Tribolium castaneum: one gene and its partners. The protein of the gene in region 3 purifies or fractionates together with the protein of the main gene of each other region. This does not show direct contact. Links are inferred from orthologs where the notes say so. Each region holds a gene or a part of one and is shown on either strand. Other genes may lie near its edges.

Region 1 (3,661 bases), on a different chromosome or scaffold from region 3:
AGAAATAAAAAATTTATATTCTGTTAGTGCATTGGCTTGGAAAAAAGATGGTTCAAGAATGACTTGTGGTGGCTTATGTGGTGTTGTAATGCTATTTGAATCGGTTTTAAAACGAACAGTTTGGAAAGATAAATTTGAAATAACATACGTTGGTCCAAGCCAAGTCCTTATAAAACCACTCGAAAGCATCAAAAGCAACGAAAACGGAATTATAATAAAATCACAACACGGTGGTGAAATCGAAGATGTGAAAATAATGGGCAAGGATTTTTATCTCGTTGCTCGAACTGATGAAACTTTATTAGTGGCCGATTTACAAAGAAATTTATTAAGTGAAGTTCCTTGGAATAATTCAGGACGACATGAAAAATTCTACTTTGATTATGCGAGCGTTTGTTTGGTTTTTAACGCTGGTGAATTAACACTCATTGAATATGGAGATGATCAAGTTTTGTGTTCGGTGCGAACCGAATTTGCAAATCCGCATTTAATTAGTGTACGTTTAAACGAACGCATTTCAACAAGTGATAATAAAAAATTAGCTTATTTGTTGGATTTGAAGACGATTTGTATCGTTGATTTATTGAATGGGGTGTTAATAATGCAAGTGACGCACGATTCGAAAATTGATTGGTTAGAGTTGAATGAAACCGGACATAAATTGTTGTTTCGGGATAAGAAACAGAGGTTTGTGTTGTATTTGTTTTTTTTTGTGGCTAATTGTTTGTCGTAGATTAATTTTAGTCGATACAACTACTCAAAACAAGCAGTGTATTTTTACGGGTGTTAGTTTTGTTCAATGGGTTGAAGGTAGTGATGTAGCTGTGGCTCAAGCCAATACGAGTTTAGCTATTTGGTATAATATTGAAATGCCTGAAAATCCCACAATAATGAGTGTTAAGGGTGATGTTACCGATGTTGTGAGGAATAATGGTAAAACCGAAGCGGTTTGTATTGATGGGAATAATGTTTATAATTTGGAATTGGATGAAGGACTTGTCGAGTTTGGTAAGTATTTTTTTGCAATTATTCACGCAAATTTTTATTTTTTATAATTTCTGGATGAAATATTCGCAACTAATGTTGTGACTTTTCTTTAATTTTCTCAATCTTTAGAGTCCTAACAACATTCACTAGCTTGATGCGCATTTTCTTTACAAAAAAGTATTCGTCCAAACATTTAGTTGTTAGGGCTCGTAGTGCAAAACTTCAAAGTTTTTTACGCTCCGTTTTTTCTTTCCCCTTAGAAAATCCTTCTATTTTAACAAAATACCTTGTTCATTTTTTTTATTCTTAAGTTAATTTAATTTAATTTAATTTAAACGTTTGTGAGAAAACGAAACAATTCCCATTAGTCATCAACAATATTTTATTTTATTTTATTTGTTAGCAATTATCTTGAAAACAATTAGTCGCAGGACAATCATCTTTAAAAAAAATAGATAATTAAGAGAACTTTCCAACAATAACAGTTCCGAAGTTATTGCCCGATAATTTTTCTTTGCAAAAGCGAGTTTTAAAACACTTGAAACTAAAATTTTGTACAAAAAATTTCAAAGCTTTAAATCTAGTGAAAATTTGGTATCATATGCACAATGAACTACAGAATTCACTGGAATAAACCGTTTCGCACTATGACTTTTAATTTTTGAGTTATGAATTTTTAATGGATAACCCGGCGCATCCACCATTTTTAAAATTGAAATATTTTTTCGGGTAAACTAGCGTTGTGAAAATCGTGGTATAGTTCGTACAGTGAGCCGTAGAATTCAATCGAAGGAACCGCTTTGCTCTACGACTTTTAGTTTTTGAGTTATGATTTTTTTGTGTTGAAGAATTAAATATGAAATGGCAACACTATTTTTTCAATATTTTTCTCAAGGACGGCAAAACTATTTGATAAAGTGGAAGTGTTTTGATGTAAATCTATGTAAAATGGTCCGGGAAATCGACTGGCGTCAAAAAAAATGCCAAATTCTTAATCGTTTTTTAATTATGAATTTTTTAAATCTCTTCTATTTCTATTCTATTTTTTGTTTTATTTGCACTTTTCGCGAAAACTATTAGTCGGGGAACAATGGTCTTTTTTAAAGAGGATATATAATTAAAAGAGCTTTCCAACGATAATACATTTCATAGGGTTATTTCTAATAGTTTCGGAGTTATTGCCTGATAAATGTTCCGGGTACCGAAAATCTATCCTAATCTCGATAAAATTTTGAAACTAGTATCATTCATAAAGTGAACCGTAGAATTCACTAGAATTCAACCTAAAAACGACGAAATATGGTTTGCTAGACAAAATAACCTTCATTTTCATTCTTATTTTAAGAGTTAAAAAATAAAAAGAACATATACAGTTCCACCACCCGCTTCGTTCGCTTCTAGGTACAGCAATCCACGATAATGACTATGCAAGAGCCGTTCTTTTCCTCGAATCAATGGGTAATTCCCCGGAAGCTTCAGCAATGTGGCACAACTTGTCAACAATTGCCTTAAAAGAACACAATTTACAATTAGCCGAACGTTGTAATGCAGCTTTAGGTAATGTAGCAACTGCACATTTCCTACGTGAAACGATTGAAAAATCAACAAATGAAGAAGAAAGTCCGGAAATTTGGGCACGTTTATCAATCTTAAACGGTGATTTAACAACAGCCGAAAATATTTTTTTGGAACAAGGTGATATTGAAAATGCTTTAAATATGTACAAAAAATTACACAAGTGGGATGAAGCTTTACGTTTAGCTGAACAACGTGGTTATGATAAGTTGAAACAATTACAAGATGAACATATGTCTGTTCTTTTGCAAAGTGGGCAATTTGAAAAGGTTGGACAAGTTCTAGAGAAGGAAAATAAGTTTGAACAAGCTTTAAATATGTATATTAAGTCAGGGAAATTATTACGAGTACCGTCACTAGTATTAAAAAATGAAGTGCTTTTGAAAGATCATGCCTTAATAGCCACGGTTTTGAAAAATTTGGTTAAACATGAAATGTTTGAAGCTGCAGCTGAAATTTACGAAAGATTGGACAAAATTGATCTTGCAATGGAATGTTACCGTAAAGGTAATCAATTAAGTGGATGTCTTATCAATTATTTATTACCAATTATTATTAAAGGAAAAGTTTGGAATAAAGCTGTGGATTTAGCTCGTGAGGTAAGTCCAGACAAAGTTGTTGATTTGGAGGAAGAATGGGGCGATAGTTTGGTCGAAAGTAAACAATTAGATGCTGCCATAAGTCACTTTATTGAAGCTGGACGCACTTTGAAGGCTTTAGATACGGCAGTTTTAGCCAAACAATGGAAAAAAGCCGTTCATATAATTCGAGTAATTGATGATCAAGAGTCGGTGAAAAAATATTACGATACTATTGCTGGTTATTTTGCAAAAAATCGTGATTTTGCAACAGCTGAGAAACTTTATGTTTCGTCTGGAATGTATAAAGAGGCGGTTGATATGTATAATGAGGCCGGACATTGGGAGAAAGCACATAATTTAGCATCACAATATCTGGAACCGGATGAAGTTGCCGATATGTATATCAAAAAAGGTAAGTACAAAAGCACAATTTCCATATGAGCAATTTTACTCCAGTAAAATAAGCATTTAAATCAAAATGTTGATATAAGTTACTGTGAAAGGGTTGAAAATACGAA
Region 2 (2,595 bases), on a different chromosome or scaffold from region 3:
AAATTTTGGGTATTGCCAACATTTTATACATTTTTAAGAGAAAAAAGCGTATTTTTGAAGTACTGAATGCGAATTTGAAGTTTGTAGAGTCAAGCATTTTGGCTTTAGTAAGTGATCTCTATTCAATTTTTCACACAAAAGCAATAATTTCGAAATCAACAAAAAATAAATTGAACAAGCTCTGAGTTTAGTTAACTGTTAAAAAAAATAAAACCCATATAATTTATGCTCCTAAGATCCGTAATTGTAGTGGTCAAGATCTCTCGAAAAACCAACCACGGGCTGCGTTTACAAAATGGCATGGTCTGGAGATGGTACTCAACTAGCGGGTGCTTGTGCTAATGGTCACGTCTTCTTCGCACACATAGTGGAAAGACACGTTCATTACAAAAATTTCACTGCTTCAGTAACCGAACGTAAAGTCGTGACGGTTAGAAATGTTGTGGACGATACTTTCGAACAACTCGAATTACCAGAAAGAGTAATACAATTGGCTCTAAAATACACGCATTTGGTTGCAACAACGCCCACACAATGTTACATTTATAGCACCAATAACTGGAATACACCAGCAATTTTTGACTTGAAGGACGGTTCTGTAATTTTATTACTACTAGCCGAAAAGTATTAAAATACCGGGATTTAATAGCAAATATTAAATTCTAATTTTAGACACATGTTACTGGTTGAAAAAAACACCATCGGCATCTACAATTATCAAGGGAGACTTATTGCTTCGCCCAGATGGCCCAACATGAGATTAGACTCTTTAAGAGCTACTCATATTAGCTTATCGTCCGATACTTTAGTCGTACGAGACTCTATAGACCATAAAAGTACTTTTTTTGTTACACACTGAACATTTGGTTTTAATATCAAAATTTTAGTCGTGCATGTAATTGACTTAAGCAGTGTGAGAAGTACCACAGAATCCACTTCAACGGTTCAACACTTTCTGCCCATTTTACAAGTCGCTCTTGACCAGTGGGGACCACCAAGTGCCCGAATGTTAGCACTGGTGAACAAAACTAAAGACCTATACGTCGTTGCACCAAGAAGTAATAATAAAATATTCCATAAACTAGGTAGTCAAACGCTAAGGTTGCCTCAACTCTGATTACAATTTTGCAGGTAGGAAAACAGAGTCGTTTCAGTGGAATTCAGAAGCAAACATCATTGCAACGATTCAAGATGCACAGTTGGTTGTTTGGTATTGTCCGACTGCTGCTTTTAATTCAACTCTTCTGAAATTATGTTCAATGCAATACGGCGCTCCAGAGCTGGGACGTAATCCGAGAATAAGTGATTTCGTGGGGAATTCGGTGTCAATTCGGAGAGCTGATGGTTCTTTAATCAACGTCCCGATTTCTCCATTCCCTTCAATACTTCATAGGTAGCTAAATGTGTTTCCTTGTCTGATTAATAGTCACTAATTCGGCCTCAGATGTATTCAAGACAACAAATGGAGCGACGCTTTAAATCTATGTAGATCAACAAACGACGAGACTTTGTGGGCATGTCTTGCAGTTTTGACGACTCAGTCCAGTGCCGATGTTATCGACATAGCGGAGGAAGCTTTCGCCAATATTAATCATTTTGATAAAGTGTTTTACATCCAATATGCAAAGAGTTTGACGAACAAAATTCAACAAAAAGCCGCAATTGCCCTCCTTGGTGGGGCGCAGCAAGAAGCTGAGGCAATTCTTTTGCACAATGGGATGGTGTTTCAAGCCATTTACAGCAACATTCAAATGCACAACTGGAGGCGGTAGGAATTATAAGAAAGCGGGCAAAAACTGAGAATAATTTCAGGGCTCTGGATTTGGCAATTAAACACAAAACGCATATTGACACAGTGTTGTTCTTAAGGCAAAAGTATTTAGACTCGTTGGGAAAACCCGAAAGTGATAACAAATTTTCGTCAATGAATGAAACTGTAAGTTGATTCATGGAGTTTTGTTTTTACATTTTGTGGTTTCAGATACAAATAGATGCGGAGAAAGTGCAACAAAAAATTTCAGCCGAACTGCAAAAGTAAATATCACATTGGGTTTTTGTTGTTAAAATAATAAAACGATTAGTTCATTCGTGTTTCTCTTTATTTTTGACGAGCCGCTACAATGATATAAACGGAACAATCAACAAAAATTTGTTACAAATATTAAATTTATTATTTTACACATTTAACTGTTATACAGCAAATGAATTAAATCATTGTTTATTTGCGAGAAGAATGTGTAATTCTTCGAGTAAATATAAATTTGTTTGTGGCAAAAGAATGCGTGAAAATAAATATAGTATTTTCTGCCTCCGGCAAAGGGGTTTAATTTGAATTTTTCATGTTGGAGCAACAACTCTGAAGACTGTTTTTACCGACGAAGTCGTCACAAAAATCAATGAATGAATCGGACAAACCTCTTTGTTTATCACCTTGTAACAATTATTATCACAGAGATTTTTTTTGGTGACGTTTTATCCATTATATTCTTACACAATTATTGTGCCGCTAATTTTATCCAGTTTATTACTTGCTGTTGTTGCAGAGGGACTGCATTAGAAACATAAATAAAATCAGAATCTTTCGGTCTAAAAGTT
Region 3 (3,761 bases):
ACAATATTATACGTGTAACTAAGGAAAAAAATTGTGCGTTAATTTTTGGTTCAGTTTGTATAAGCAAAAAATAAAAAAATCTGAAAAAATCCACATGGATAATAAAAATGTGGAGTAGTAAATAGTCTTTTAGCAGACTCACCCCGTATATTCAACTTTCAAGTCAAATAATTTAATTTACTAAAAGTTTCAGAATTTTTTTTCGTAATTTGAAAATTTCCAGAAAAAAATCAATTGTGAAGATCCACTGATCAAATTAAAATTAGTTCCATTAAAAAAAATCTTATATTTGAAACGATTTGGACTACGAAGCATTTAGTTTAATATGAAAATAAATAATTGCGAAAAATTCTGAGAAAAAAAATCACGTATAGAGAAAAACGTAAAGTCTTTAACAATTATACAATCTTTTTTTAGTCAAATAATCCCCAACTATAAAAATAAAAAATCACCAAAAATCATTCCAACACAAAATGCGTCCAAGTTGGCAGCATTTGAACACGCCAACCTACCTCGAACATATCCTTTGATAAACGATAACACGCGACCCTAATGAGTTACTTTAACGACTACAGTTTATGGTAGAATTTTAACCGCAACCATTTTAATTTTACTATTTGTTTGCCCAACAAATTCCACATTTACTCCCTGCTGTGAGATGACCAACTTTTATTATTGGTACACATTCAAAATAAAAAAATTTACAAAATCATGAAAAAAATCAAGTTGCGTGTTTTAGAACCGGCGCATCCACCATTTCGCCTTCAGTGGTATAATTACCATCGCCATTACACCCCAAAAAATGGCCTGGTGTTTTGAATTAATTCTTACCAGAGGAGGCACTAGCGGACGGCTGCATGGTCATGCCAATTGAGCAAATTTCAGTATCGTCATCCCACAACATTTTAACACAACACACTCACAACCAACAAAACAAACCCAGATATGTTACATTGATACGGAGCGAGTTTTCAAGGGGTTTCATGGTATTTCTGTGGTAGCAGGTGCTGGGTCGATGGGTGCTCGCCAGCGACTGCAGTGCCTGGCTTTGTTTGTAACCCTGGGCGACTGTATTCCGATACTGCGCCCTCGCACCCTTACATTTGCACCCTTAATCAGGCGCGTTTCGCTGCTTTTTCCAACGTCATCAGTCATTAATTTCACTCACCTTTGTCAACAAAACAGTCCTTGAACGGTGACAAATTGTTCCGTTCTAGCCATTCATCGACTTTACCATCCGGTTTATTGTCCGATTCAAATAATCCAGACCAAAAGCAAAAACACAGTCTTATCACACTAGCAACACTAACAAAAACCAAAAATACAACAGCGAATAGTTTGGCACAACGCTTCATAATACAATTTTACGAAATTTTCGTTACATTTTGGCTTTTTTTCGAGTTTGGTTGAGACGGCTGTGCCCACTTTTAGCAACCGGCCGCCATTACTGTTTTTGTCAAATGTGGCGCCCTCTAAGTGGGCGGAGCCGCACGTTACCATGACAATACGAATACAAATTGACGAAATTTTACGCCAAAAAATGTCAGAAGAGAGTGAACAAACGTTTTCGGCTTTTAGCCAAATGGAAGGGCTTCTAGATAAGTTGAAATTGTTGAATTACGAAGCTGAATTTTTCAAGGAAACTAAGCTCAAGCCCATCCATAGGAAAGTCCCCAGTTTAATAATTCAAATAGTAATGGAATTAATTACAGGTATTATTTTGTTGTTACCAAAAACCCGGGCGAACAATTTTATTTGTTTGCCTTATTGGCGGCCTATTTAATACAGAAGATTGGAATTAGTTTCCAAACGCCACAAGAGGATGATGACCCGAATGTGACCGTGGAAAAAATACTAGATGTGGTGCGAAAAAATGTAATTCATTATTGAAATTTGCACTATGGTTGGAAACAGAATATAAGTTGGTATTTTTACAAAACACAGTATGATACGTCATTTTTGTCACGAGTTTATAAAGCGAGTTGCATACTATATTTTTTCTACGACAGTAGAAGTAACATTTGCACATTTTTTTCGAAAAAAACATAAAAGTTTCAACGATTTCTCTCTTAAAAACCACCAAAATAGCATAAGAATAATTAAAATTAGATATTTTGTGGCCAATTTTATATAAAATGTTTGAACTAGAATTTTTTCTTGAAAACTTTAGACTATATATTAATTCCCAAATCGTTAAATTAAATCACCAAACCCCAAAAAAACAGCAAATTAGATCGAAAAAACGTTTTATTCTAACGTTATAGCATTTTTTTTAAATTTTTAACTCTAATTTTTCACCAAATTTTGTCAAAAAGCAGCAAATTACGGTAAAGAAGACAATATTCTGGAATTTTCCAAGTTCAAAAATTCCTTATTTTGAGAAACTCTGAAATAAATGAGTCCAAAAACTCGAAATTTTTGCTGAATTCCGTCATAAATTTCTTAAAAAATCACGAAATTAATGTGTTTTTCGTCAAAATTAATATAAAATATCTAAACTATCGTCAAATTTGTGCATCTTGGCACAAAATTGAGACAAAAAACACAAAAAAACAGCAAATTAGGTCAGGTCAGGTCAGGTCAAAAAAGTTTAATTCAAACATTTAAGCATTTTTTTTAATTTGAAACTTTAATTTTCCACCAAATTTCGTCGAAAAGCAACAAATTATGGTAAAATTAGCGTTGTTTTGGAATTTTTCAAGCGTGTAAGTTGATTTTTCAGGTAAAAATTCTCATATTTCGAGAAATTCTTAATAAAAAATTAAACCTCAATTTTAAAATAACACAGTTTTACATAGTTTTTTATGATTTTCTGCACGTTTTCGTCTTAGGAACACGAAATTTTTGGCAAATTTCACAATAAATCTCCCACAAAATCCCCAAATTTGTGAATTTTTTTAAATATTTCAGTTAAAAATAATAAAAAAATATCCAAACTATCGCTAAATTTGCGCCTTTTTCAAGCACTTTTAATTTTTCAGCTAGGAACTCATTTTTTTCGCTAAATTTTGCCAAAAAAAAACAAATATCAAAAAATAAACAGACGTAAAATCAAAAATTCTGTTTCCATCCACTAATTTATTGGCCAAGTATTAAAATCCGAATTCTAGGAAATTGCTGTTAATTTCCACGCCAATAAGCTGATGCAAGGTGTGGGCGAACAAGTGGTTTACATTTTGGACAGTCTGGCCAGCAAGGCTTTGGAGAAAAATTTCATGTTCCAAAAGTGAGTAAATCCCCCTTTGTTTGCTTTAAAAATTGTGTTAGGCCTTTGCTTCCCGAGGAAAAAGCGGAAGAAAGCGAGCTGATAAACGACGAATCCGAGATAAACCTTGACCGTGTGGAGGAGGAAATGTTGGCAGCTTACACGGACGATTCCGACGAGGAAAACCTTTTCCTCCTTGATAACGTGAAAGTGGCCCGGAAAGAGCCCCAAATGGCCGAAATCAAAATGAACGTAAATGAAGAAGCGTGGAAATTGGAACTGGAGCGAGTTCTCCCGCATTTAAAAATCACAGTTAAGAATGAAAACCGTGATTGGCGTTCGCATTTAGAGCAAATGAAGCAATACAAAGTCAGTGTTGACTCGTCACTTGGTGTGGTTAAAACACAGTTGGAGAAGTTGCATAAGGAGATAAGTCAAACGCTTGATAAAATCGCAAGTCGAGAGAAGTTTCTCAATCGGGAGCTGGAGAATAATTTGGATGAATATAGAATGCTGCAAGATCAGCTCTCGAAAATCAGAGATGCTTATAAGGGGA

What was found.
Region 1: the proteins of IFT57 (region 3) and Oseg2 purify together in Homo sapiens (affinity purification with mass spectrometry; 3 studies listed by BioGRID and IntAct, counting the BioPlex papers as one, with this or other methods). This does not show direct contact. The link is inferred for Tribolium castaneum from reciprocal best matches to the Homo sapiens genes IFT57 and IFT172.
Region 2: the proteins of IFT57 (region 3) and Oseg5 purify together in Homo sapiens (affinity purification with mass spectrometry; 3 studies listed by BioGRID and IntAct, counting the BioPlex papers as one, with this or other methods). This does not show direct contact. The link is inferred for Tribolium castaneum from reciprocal best matches to the Homo sapiens genes IFT57 and IFT80.

The regions. Positions count from the first base shown.
Region 1 is NC_087394.1:885,980-889,640, forward strand, and holds part of Oseg2 (intraflagellar transport protein 172 homolog), read left to right. Parts: coding exon 1-687; intron 688-733; coding exon 734-1,008; intron 1,009-2,388; coding exon 2,389-3,069; intron 3,070-3,123; coding exon 3,124-3,555; intron 3,556-3,661. UniProt on the Homo sapiens protein: Required for the maintenance and formation of cilia. Plays an indirect role in hedgehog (Hh) signaling, cilia being required for all activity of the hedgehog pathway.
Region 2 is NC_087398.1:6,317,573-6,320,167, reverse strand, and holds the end of Oseg5 (intraflagellar transport protein 80 homolog), read left to right. Parts: intron 1-250; coding exon 251-624; intron 625-672; coding exon 673-836; intron 837-887; coding exon 888-1,085; intron 1,086-1,131; coding exon 1,132-1,393; intron 1,394-1,444; coding exon 1,445-1,768; intron 1,769-1,812; coding exon 1,813-1,936; intron 1,937-1,981; coding exon 1,982-2,038; 3' UTR 2,039-2,087; downstream 2,088-2,595.
Region 3 is NC_087402.1:750,670-754,430, reverse strand, and holds the start of IFT57 (intraflagellar transport protein 57 homolog), read left to right. Parts: upstream 1-1,483; 5' UTR 1,484-1,498; coding exon 1,499-1,667; intron 1,668-1,714; coding exon 1,715-1,875; intron 1,876-3,110; coding exon 3,111-3,226; intron 3,227-3,267; coding exon 3,268-3,761. Other genes in the region: apoptosis-resistant E3 ubiquitin protein ligase 1, read right to left, coding at 1,169-1,355. UniProt on the Homo sapiens protein: Required for the formation of cilia. Plays an indirect role in sonic hedgehog signaling, cilia being required for all activity of the hedgehog pathway.